Canis lupus familiaris: one gene and its partner. The protein of the gene in region 1 interacts with the protein of each later gene in a pairwise test. Links are inferred from orthologs where the notes say so. Each region holds a gene or a part of one and is shown on either strand. Other genes may lie near its edges.

The links. The genes of interacting proteins can lie anywhere in the genome.
Region 2: the proteins of IRF9 (region 1) and IRF1 interact in a two-hybrid assay, tested with the Homo sapiens proteins (2 studies listed by BioGRID and IntAct). The link is inferred for Canis lupus familiaris from reciprocal best matches to the Homo sapiens genes IRF9 and IRF1.

Annotation. Positions count from the first base shown.
Region 1 is NC_049229.1:4,279,176-4,284,679, forward strand, and holds the end of IRF9 (interferon regulatory factor 9), read left to right. Parts: intron 1-187; coding exon 188-318; intron 319-411; coding exon 412-490; intron 491-593; coding exon 594-665; intron 666-1,206; coding exon 1,207-1,548; intron 1,549-2,397; coding exon 2,398-2,513; intron 2,514-2,672; coding exon 2,673-2,801; 3' UTR 2,802-3,128; downstream 3,129-5,504.
Region 2 is NC_049232.1:20,768,917-20,774,239, forward strand, and holds part of IRF1 (interferon regulatory factor 1), read right to left. Parts: coding exon 5,276-5,323; intron 4,005-5,275; coding exon 3,905-4,004; intron 3,066-3,904; coding exon 2,889-3,065; intron 2,784-2,888; coding exon 2,734-2,783; intron 2,627-2,733; coding exon 2,494-2,626; intron 2,304-2,493; coding exon 2,184-2,303; intron 1,732-2,183; coding exon 1,682-1,731; intron 770-1,681; coding exon 634-769; intron 311-633; coding exon 198-310; 3' UTR 1-197. UniProt on the Homo sapiens protein: Transcriptional regulator which displays a remarkable functional diversity in the regulation of cellular responses.

The sequences.
Region 1 (5,504 bases):
ACCCCTCCTAGCAGCAGCAGACCTGCCTCTCTGCAGCCCCTCGCTGGGACCTCTGCCCCATCACTGTCCTTGGCGAGCTCTGCTAGCTTCTCCTTCCTGGGCCTGCCCATCCTTCCACGGCCTCCTGTCCTACCCTCTGTACCCACTTAAGGCTCTGCCATTTCTCCCCTTCCACAATATTCCACAGCCCAGCCTGGGACCCAGAAATCACCATCAAAGCGACATCACAGCTCTGTGTCCTCCGAAAGGGAGGAGGACGAGAGGACCGTGAAGAATGGTGCTCCCAGTCCCTCCTTGCTTGTGGACCCCTTCAGAAATGTAAGAGCAAGGGTAGGAAGGGGGGGGTGGCGCCTGAGGGCAGGGACCGTAACTAGGGGAGAGGTGGGCCAACCATAGATCCTGTGTCTGCAGGAGGAGGTGGGGGCCAATGGGGGAACGAGCCGTTCAAACTTTGGGAGTAGCAGCAACAGCAGCCCTGAGCCCCAGGAAGGTACCACGTCCCCCGCCTCTGTTCGTCCCCCCACACTGCACCCTCTGGCCCTTGGAGTCCCCAGTCCTACTCTGAGCAATGCACACCGCTGCTTCCCTTCTAGGCACAGGTACCGCTGAAGCCCCTTTCCAAGGAGATCAGGTGTCACTGGAGCTTCTGCCCCCTCCGGGCTCAGGTACGTGGCGTTTCTGACTCATTCCTGCGCCCTGTCCCCCCCGCCTGTCTCCCTGCGGACATGCATGCATCATTGTGTCTGGCAGGGCTCATAGCAGCCCGGGCCCACCTTGCCCAGACAGAGGCACTGGTTTCTAGGCAGGATACCTGGCCAGACTCCAAACACAGCTCAATTCTCAAAAATACCCTCTCTACACTCTGTTCCCAGGAAATCCACTTTGAGACATTAATTCTGGGGGTCAAGCAGAGACCCAGGCTCTGGGACCTAAACTGTAAGGCCCTGGGTGATAGGAAAGTCTGGCAGGAGGTCCCTAGGCTGGTGAGGGTGGCGATGGGGCAGATGAGGAGGTGGCCCCTGGCCTCAGAAGATGAAGCTGCTACCCCTGTCCTCCCTTGGCTTCTCTCGCTGGACCTCACGTTTCTCATCAGCAAAATGAGGGTGTGGGGTTCTCGAGGAGCCCCTCCATCCCCCAGGCCCTGGGGCTGACCAGGCGGACCCCTCAGGTGAAGCACAGGGGCAGCTGGTGGTTCTCTGTCCACAGACTACTCGCTGCTGCTCACCTTCATCTACAGTGGGCGCATGGTGGGCAAAGCCCAGGTGCAGAGCCTGGACTGCCGCCTTGTGGCCGAGCCCTCCGGCTCCCAGTGCGGGATGGAGCAGGTCGTCTTTCCCAAGCCTGACCCTCCAGAGCCCACCCAGCGCCTGCTGAGCCAGATCGAGAGGGGTGTCCTGGTAGCCAGCAACTCCCGGGGCCTCTTCGTGCAGCGCCTCTGCCCCATCCCCGTCTCCTGGAATGCACCCCAGGCCCCACCTGGCCCAGGCCCACATCTGCTGCCCAGCAATGAGTGTGTGGAGCTCTTCAGAACCACCCACTTCTGCAGAGGTGAGGCTGTTCCAGCTGAGCTGAGCCCCTGGCTCCTTGTAGCCCCGCCCTGGGACCTGATAGGCTCTGCCACCACCCTGTGTTTCTGCCAGTAGATCCCTCATCACAGCTGATGTGTGGCACCCTGCCCTTGCACCGTGCACATCCTGTGGGGCCCTGTGCTCCGCCCTGGCAGCTGTCTGGCAGCCACCCTTCCCTAGTCCAGGCCTCGGAAGATGAGGCTCAGGTGGAGCTCAGCACACATGTCACGTCTCGGGGACTGCCCCCGCCTGGCAGCATGCAGTGATGGGAGGTGTGCCTGCTGGGCCTCTCCCGCACAGGCTCCCACACACACCCTCCCCCTATTCACCGGCCCTGCCACACTCCGGGCAGCTCCTCTGGTCATTCTTCTCCCATCCACTTCTGGAATTCTACTCCTGCCTCCCTTCACCTGTAAATCTGGCCAGGAGTGTAGGGGACACAGAACGGGAGAGTTCCAGGGCCGTGGGTGCCCTTGGGGGGGGGGGGGGCGGTGAGCCAGCAACAGAGTGGGGTACCTCTGTGTCAAGCAGACCCGGCTGCCAGGAGGACTCTTAAGTTCTCCAGCAGAGAGCTTGCAGATCGTATAAAAATCAGTTACCTCAAAGTATTATTCGAGGAAGGGGCGCCCTTTGCTGTTTGCACATGGGAGTAGCAGCTTAGTTGCCACCGTTCCTCCTGGCATAAGGCAGCCGCCTCACAACCCTGCGGCTCCAGTTCTGGCCCCACAGCCATCCGTCTTTGTCCATGGTGGGCCCCTCTCGGTCCCCTCCCTGCCTGTGGCCCCTGTCTTCTCTTTCTTCTAGCCCTTAACCCTTTTTCCTTCATCAGACCTGGTCAGGTACTTCCAGGGCCTGGGTCCCCCACCTGAGTTCCAGGTGACACTGAATTTCTGGGAGGAGAGCCCCGGCCCCAGCCGTACCCCAAAGAGCCTCATCACGGTGCAGGTGAGTTCAGGGCAGGGGAAGAGTAGGCTAGCCTGCCCCTGGAGGGCGTGTGTTGGGGTGGTTCCAGCAGGAGACGGGGCCTGGGGGGAAGACCTCCTAGGGTAGTGTCTGCTCTTGGCTGTGCTCCTGACAAGCTCTCCCCCACCTTCTCTGGCACAGATGGAGCAGGCCTTTGCCCGACATTTACTGGAAGAGACTCCAGAGGAGCAGTCAGCTGCCGTGTCCCTGCTGCAGAGCCTGGGAGACCCTGCTTCCTCCTCTCCTCTCTCTTCCTCCTATCTGCTTTGAAAGAGACTCATTCTCCACGCTGTTGGCCTGCCTCCCTCGGTGACAGTTCTCCGTGGTTGTCTCTGACAGCTGCGTCCTTCAACTGCTCATGTACCCGGCTGGTGGAGAACTCAAGGATGATCTTTATACCCCCTGTTTTTTGTTTTTGTTTGTTTGTTTTTGTTTTTTTGAGATACACCTTTCATTTCTGAGGAACTGACCTGGGAAAGTCCAAATGGTATGAACTCAGGGGACCTTTCCCTCTTCCCCCAGTCCTAAAGCCAAGCACTTTACATTTTCTTCTTAGATGTTCACTAGGGATTTAAAATAAAATTTTTTGAAAGAGGAGTCAGTATCTGCTTTGTTGGGATGAAAAGGTAGCAGGGGTCACAGGGAAGTGAAAGAGATGTAAGGTGAGAGTGAGTACTTGGGTTCTCTTCCTGCTGACCTCTCTGGGCCCTTTTCATCTCCTCCACCGGCAGGTTCTGGCTAGGACGCTGTCTGGGCTCTGTGGGTTCTGGGCCTGGGGAGAGGGGAGAGGTTAGCCACCCGGAAGAGCACAGCCTACAGCTGCTGTAGCCACCAACCTCACGCGGAAAAATCTGGGCTCTTCTCTTCTTGGCTAAGGCCTCCGATTCGGGCCTTACAACAGGCTTAGGGTTGGACTCTGGGCAGGAGTTCTAAATGAACAGGTGAACTTGGAAGTTGCCCTCAAATTCTGGGCTACAAGCACTGGGGCCTGGAATGGGCGGCAGAATCAGAGGGAAGAGCTGCTGAGCCTCCTGTGCTGAGGGAGACCAGGCCCTGGCACCTCTTCTCCCAACACATGGGGTGCTATCCTCTCAATGGAAGGGACTCCCAAACTGTTTTCCTTGCTCTACCTAAGCCCCATAGAAGACCATCTGGCCTAGGCTGCAACGTCACCCACACTTGCTCACTGAGATTTGAGGGCTCCAGGTCAGCTGGCCCCTCTGAGCCCTTACCCCCTGGGTTTGCCACCAAACTAAAAGTTCTTCCTTTTTAAGGCCACTCGTCATCTTAATCTCTCCACTCACGTCCAGACCTAAGTCACCACTTAGCTGATGTTGCAGCCTCTAGCTCCCCTCTTCCTGTAGGGGACCCCAGATTGGAGGAAGAGAGGCTCCCAGACCAGACTCCTTCCTGTCAGGCTGCTCTTGGAAGCCTTGCCTGGTTCACCTACGTGATCAAAACCTAGACGCCTAGACCCTCAAGGATCTTCCTACTGGCATGTTTGACAAACTTCAGTGCTGCCCTTGAGCTTCCTGCCTGCCTCCTTGGATCTTCCTCCGATTCAGTCTTGCCCATCGTCCTCCTGAGAAGCCAAGAGCCCAAACAGGCCTCTGCATTACCAGGGAAGAACGCAGGTACTGAGTGCTCAGGTACTCGAACTCCAGAGTCCCTCTGCTTGCTAGAATCCCTCCTGTGCCCTTGCTGCCTCCTCAACTTCATCTTCTTTCTTTTATTTTTAATTTTAATCCCAGTATAATTAACATACAGTGTCAAATTAGTTTCACGTGTATAATTACTTATCCATTTCTTTATCGATGGACACCTGGGCTGCTTCCATAGTTTGACTCTTGTAGATACTGCTGCTATAAACATAGGGGTGCCTATATCCTTTTGAACTGGTGCTTTCATATTCTTTGGGTAAATGCCCTGTAGTGGTCACTGGATCATATAGTAGTTCTATTTTTAATTTCTTAAGCACCCTCCATACTGTTGTCCACAGTGGCTGCACAGGTTTGCATCCCCAACAGAAGTGCACAGAGTTCCTTTTTTTTTCCACATCCTCACCAACACATGTTGTTTCTTGTGTTTTTTTTTTTCTTGTGTTTTTGTTTTTGTTTTTGTTTTTGTTTTTTTAATTTTTATTTATTTATGATAGTCACAGAGAGAGAGAGAGAGAGAGAGGCAGAGACACAGGCAGAGGGAGAAGCAGGCTCCATGCACCAGGAGCCCGATGTGGGATTCGATCCCGGATCTCCAGGATCGCGCCCTGGGCCAAAGGCAGGCGCCAAACCGCTGCGCCACCCAGGGATCCCTTTTTCTTGTGTTTTTGATTTTAGCTATTCTGACAGGCGCGAGGTGATAGATCACTGTGGTTTTGATTTGCATTTCCCTGATGAGTGATGTTGAGCATCTTCTCATGTAGCTGTTGGCCACCATCTGTCTGTCTTCTTCTTCTTCTTTTTTTTTTTTTTTTGCTAAAAGTTGCTTTTATTTGTAACCTTTTTTTCTTTTTTTTTTTATTTTGTTTATTTATTCATGATAGACAGAGAGAGAGAGGCAGAGACACAGGCAGAGGGAGAAGCAGGCTCCATGCAGGGAGCCTGATGTGGGATTCGATCCCCAGTCTCCAGGATCACACCCTGGGCTGCAGGCGGCACTAAACTGCTGCACCACCGTGGCTGCCCTCTGTCTGTCTTCTTTAGAGAAATGTCTGTTCATGTCTTCTGCCCATTTTTTTAATTGAATTATTTGGGGATTTTTTAGTGTTGAGTTGCATAACTTCTTTATATATTTTGGATACTAGCCCTTTATGAGATATATCATTTGCAAATATCTTCTCTCGTTTAGTAGGTTGCCTTTTAGTTTTGTTGATGGTTTCTTGCACTGTGTAAAAGCCTTTAATTCTGATGTAGTCTCCATAGCGTTTTTTTTTTTAAAGATTATATTTGTTTATTCATGAGAGACACAGAGAGG
Region 2 (5,323 bases), on another chromosome or scaffold:
CAAGATGAGCCCAGACCCTGGCCTAACAGAACCTAAAGGGTCACTGTCCTAAGGAGGGAGGTTCCATCCCTGCTCAGCAATGGAGTCATTCTCTGCCATGTCAAGGAGCCCACAGGAATCCTGTTTCTTTGCATCATGGCAACCATGATGCCAGGTCCTGCTCAACACCTAGGGGAGTCAAAGGGGCCAGGGCCCAGCTATGGTGCACAAGGAATGGCCTGGATGGAGGGCAGTCTGACTGGAGTCAACAGGCTGTCCAGCCAGCTGGTGTCCATGTTCTTCAGATCTGAAGAGATCAGCCCAACATACCCTAGAAGATGTGAAGAAGGTTGTATGAGGATGGAGGGTAAAGACAGGTGTGTTCCCCTCCTGCCCCTCAGCCCTATCCCTGTAGGCCACAGACACAGCCGCCTCTACTGTCCCCACATGGCAGTAAGCACCCTGCCTCCATCTTCAGGCAGACCTGAGTACGTGGGAGCAGCAGCCAGTTTGTAAGCTGTCTGTACCAAGAAGAGTTGAAGAAAGATGCTTTGCCTCTCCTGCTCCCTAGCCCAGTCCCCCAGCCCTTTCCTACCCACCCCCTGCCAGTTTCTCGCTTCTCGGAGAAACCTTCCAGCTACAGGGACTTCTTACCCCCAGGGCTGTCAACTTCTGGTTCGTCCTTGCAGCTGAAGTCTCCATAGAGAGAGGGGGGCTGAGTCCCAGGTTCATTTAGCAGGTACCCCTTGCCATCCACGTTTGTCGGCTGCCACCCCGTCTGCTCCAAGAGCTGGTGACAGAGGAATAAGGAACCATCAGGTTACTTCCAGGGCAGATTCATCCTCTGGTCTTGCCCTCAGTGAGCCAAACCTTCCCTACCAGCATCGTACCCTTGGTCATTTGCATGTTCTCAGATGGATGCAAATGTGGACTGTGGTTAGGACAGGGGCCTGCGAATTGTGGATCTGCCCTGGACTCATGCTCCTACATCTCCCCTCTGGCACAGAATCTCCTAAGACTTTCCCCCTCAGCTGAGTGAGGACATACCAACCAGGAATGTGGCATAAAGTAACAGCATCACAAGTCAAGAAAAGAAAAGAAAAGCTAGAGATAGGGAGCTATGCCTACGTCTCAAGTTTTCTATGCTGATGAAACACAGCCTGGGTACAACTACTGCAACAACTGTTTTATATTCGCTTTTAAGATTGAAGCAGGACAAAAAAAAAAAAAAAAAAAAAAAAAAACAACACACCCCTGGAGAATAATTTGCTTTAAGGAAAAAAAGAAAAGAAACAAAGAAAAGGAAAAAATCCCTCATCAGATCCCAGATCCCAAAAGCTGATTATTAAAACCTGATGTGCACTTCCCTAACTAACAGGGCAGCAGGCCTGGGGCCTGTTGGGGCAGAGGACGCAGGCCAGGGACCAGGCACTGGTGCTGGCTGACTCAGAGTGGTTCCAGGCCCTAGGGCTGCCTCCAGGACAGCCTGTCAGAAACCAGGCCTCCCCACTGTCCTCACTTCCCCAGTGTCTTTCCCACCAGCCAAGGAGGGCACAGTGGATGTGGCACTTATAGGATGATACAAGCAGCCAGGTCACAGTAGCAGCTGCCTCCACCCTCCAATGTGTTGAGCTCTAAGTAGTTTTCTCTCTCCTAAGAAGCAGCCACTTCACAAGAGCGCTCAGGGAGGAATGCGCTTTACCTTCATGATGTCCTCAGTTAATTTCCCTTCTTCGTCCTCATCTGTTGTGGCTGTGGATGGGGAAGAGCAGAGAGGTTAGAGGTTGGCTGGTAGTCAACCAGGCTTGCCCCTGCAGTTCCACCATAGTGCCTGCCCTACCACGCACGTGCGTGTGCGCACACACACACACACACACACACACATACCTCCCAGCAGACATGTACCTGCTATGGACATTCCAGAACAGGACACTGTCCTTGTGACTCAGCCTCCCGCACCCTGAAGCCACACCTCTTCCCACCCCCTTGCTTCCTTCCTCACCCACAGAGACTGGGCTGCAGAGGAGCCAGGGAACTGAGCAACCTCAGACCCAAATACAGCCCCTGGGCCCCCTTCCCTCTTTTCTCCAGCACAGCACAGTCATCTCGGTCAGTGCCAGGTAGAGTTCTGAGCATCTTCTCTCCCTCAGGAAACCCTCCCCAGGACCCAAACAGGCAGGCATGTGGGCCGCAAGGGCACAAACCTTCAGAAGTGGAGGGCATAGGTGACACCTGGAAGCTGTAGAGGTCACTGGTGCTGTCCGGCACTATCTCTGGGATGTGCCAGTCAGGGAGAGTACTGGTAACGGCACACGGTGACAATGCTGAGGGACAGCAGAAACCACAGGTCAGAACTGGCTGCTTTCTGAGTTTGCAAGACATGCAGCATCCCTGACCCCGCGGCCTGCTCCAACCTGCCACCCCCTCCTCAAGCACGCTGCCTCCTGGACCCAAAAGAAGGAGCCATCCCATTGTGACCTTGTGTGGCCTCCTGCCAGACCTGGCCTACCTCACCTGGAGTAAGGTCCCGCTCAACCTCCAAATCCTGCCCCATGTAGCCGTGAGCTGTGTAGCTGCTGTGGTCATCGGGCAGGGTGGAGGTGCTGAGTCCATCAGAGAAGGTGTCAGGACTGGAGTCACCACATGACTGCAACAAGAGAAAGGAGCTTAGGCCCAGGCTTGCCGTGGCACTTCTCCCACTGCCCACCCTGACTCCCGGGGGACCAAAGACTAGTAGCTCAGGGCCACACTCACCTTCCTCTTGGCCTTGCTCTTAGCATCTCGGCTGGACTTGGACTTTCTCTCTACAAAGCAGATGGGCCATCAGTCTTGGTACAGGTACACCAGCCCCCGCTGCCCTTCTTCTTCCCTCCCTTTGAGCTTCCCAAGGATCCAGAGCCCTTGGATACCTTTTCTCTGGTTCTTGGTGAGGGGTGGGAGCATCCGGTACACCCGCACAGCTGAGCTGCCTTTGTTCCTGCTCTGGTCCTTCACTTCCTCAATATCTGGCAGGGAGTTCATGGCACAGCGAAAGTTGGCCTTCCATGTCTTAGGATCTGGCTCCTTTTCCCCGGCTTTGTATCGACCTAGTCGGCAGAAGAGTGAAGAGGACTATAAGGACCAGAGGTGGGAATCCTTAGCTGCTGTCTGGCCTGGGAGGAGGAAGGCAAGAGTACCCCTAAGCTCTCATGCTGCCAGAGATCCACACTAGCCAAACAGACGGTATTCCTGGGTGACCCTCTACAAGCCCTGGGGCTTCTCAAATGCCCATGCTTGACTCAGACACATCCAGCAGACCTTTCTGAAGGGCCCAGCCAGAAGCACTAGAGGGCCTGTATGTCTTCACGGGCTGTACTGGTGCTGGACCAGAACCAGTCTCCCTGCTTGGGCTGTTAGCAGCCAGAGATTAAATAAAGACTAGGGTTTATCTGATGTTTCCAAACACAGCAGTGGACAAAGAGGAGGCATCAAAGAACAGTTACTGATAGGTGTGCTGTCTGATCTGAGATGGACCAAGAGCTCCAGACCTCAAGGATAAAAAGAGGCTGCCAACCAGATGGGCCTTGGGCCAGGACCTTGGTAAACATCAAGAAAATCAAAGACTTGGGTCTTTCAGTATCCAGGCTCACAACTGCTTTTGCCCCAAGGAGCTTTAATCCAGCTACAAACTCCCTGAAATCACACTTTCTAAGACGCTGATTTCACAGGTTCCTTTAAGAACTTGCTGAAGACGCTGATTTCACAGGTTCCTTTAAGAACTTGCTGAAATGATGGAACTTTTCCCCAGAAATACAAATCTGCCCCCTGCTCACCCCCAAATTTTGTACACAATCTCAAGGAACCCGATGAAGAGCCTCTGTGTTAATAGAAGTGATTCCTCTAGTCTTCTCCTTGGCCCTCCAGGGCTGGAGACCAGGGCACACACCTGTGTGAATAGCCCAGCTCCGGAACAGACAGGCATCCTTGTTGATGTCCCAGCCATGCTTGGCAGCATGCTTCCATGGAATCTGGAAAATCATCTCCTCCTGAATGGCACACACACACATATATACAAGGCTGTGTCAGCTCAGAAGCCACAGGGTTTTAGCAGGAGCCTGCCCAGCCCCGCCGCGCCCCCCCCCCCCCCCCCCAGTCTGAGAAAAAGCTGACTTCCCCTTTTCACCCTGACATCTGGCTTGAGTTGACCCATCCTGAGAATGGCTTAAACAGACTACTCTATCATTCTAGATCTCTCAGAAGGGGCTCTGGGTTCTGAAGAGCTATGGCAGTATCAGCTCACCAAAGCTCTCCCTCTGCCTGTTACAGGTGTGCTGGGACCCATAAGGAGCACCTTGGGATGCTCTCTGGCTTTTCAGCACCAACGCAGAAGTGAAAACTCCATCCATTAAATGGGGATGCTTAGGACAATTGGGACCACTGGCTCCTACACAGGGAGGGAGCCCTGGGCCAGTCTTGGATGCTGACTACCTGTGTGACACTGGCACTGTCCCTATACCTCCTGGTCCCTCATTGGTTTCTCTTCTGTGAAATGAGAAATCACAGTGACAAATATAAAGACTAAGTCTCACTGTTATCATTACTGGTGGTTAACACTTTGGATTTCTGAGTTTGATTGCTCAGGTTCAAATCTTGACTTGATCACTTTTTGTGTCATCTCATTATCTACTTCTCAGTGCCTCAGTTTTCCTTATCTGAAAATGGAGCTATTAACAGGATCTACTTCACAGGGCTACTGTGAGGATTAAATGACACAACGTAAGTAACAGACGTAGCACAGTAATCACACTTGCTCATAGGGAGTGGACAGTAAGCATTATTATGAATATTGTTATTACTACTATGTCTGCAGGGTTTGTGCACCAGCATGAGGTTTCTTGAGCCTGGGCCAGCAGTGCAAGGTTAATTCTCAGGTCCCTTGCTCCTCCAGCCATCTTCTCACCACTAGGTGCTCATTTCTCTGCCTCCTGGCTGTTTGGAACCCTGTAGGATGCTGTATGTTTGCAGGAGTCTCTCGTAAAAGAGACCAGAACTCTGGCTCTGCAGATGCGGGGAGAGTCTTGCTGATGCAAACTGTCAGTGCCCTCAGGTGAGTGCCCTGTCCATATCAAGGAAGGGAAGAAGGCAGAGCGGCCCAAGGCTGGGCCCTTGCATACTGCCTGCAGGCAGGACCCACTGGGAAACAAACACATCTGCCTCCTCCTCATCACTTCCGTTTTTGAGCTGCATCTGAAGCTTCGGTCCCCTCAAAGAACATGTGTTAAAATAGTGGCATAAAAACCCAGAAGGTGACACTCACTTTATTAATCCAGATCAGCCCTGGGATTTGGTTGGAATTAATCTGCAT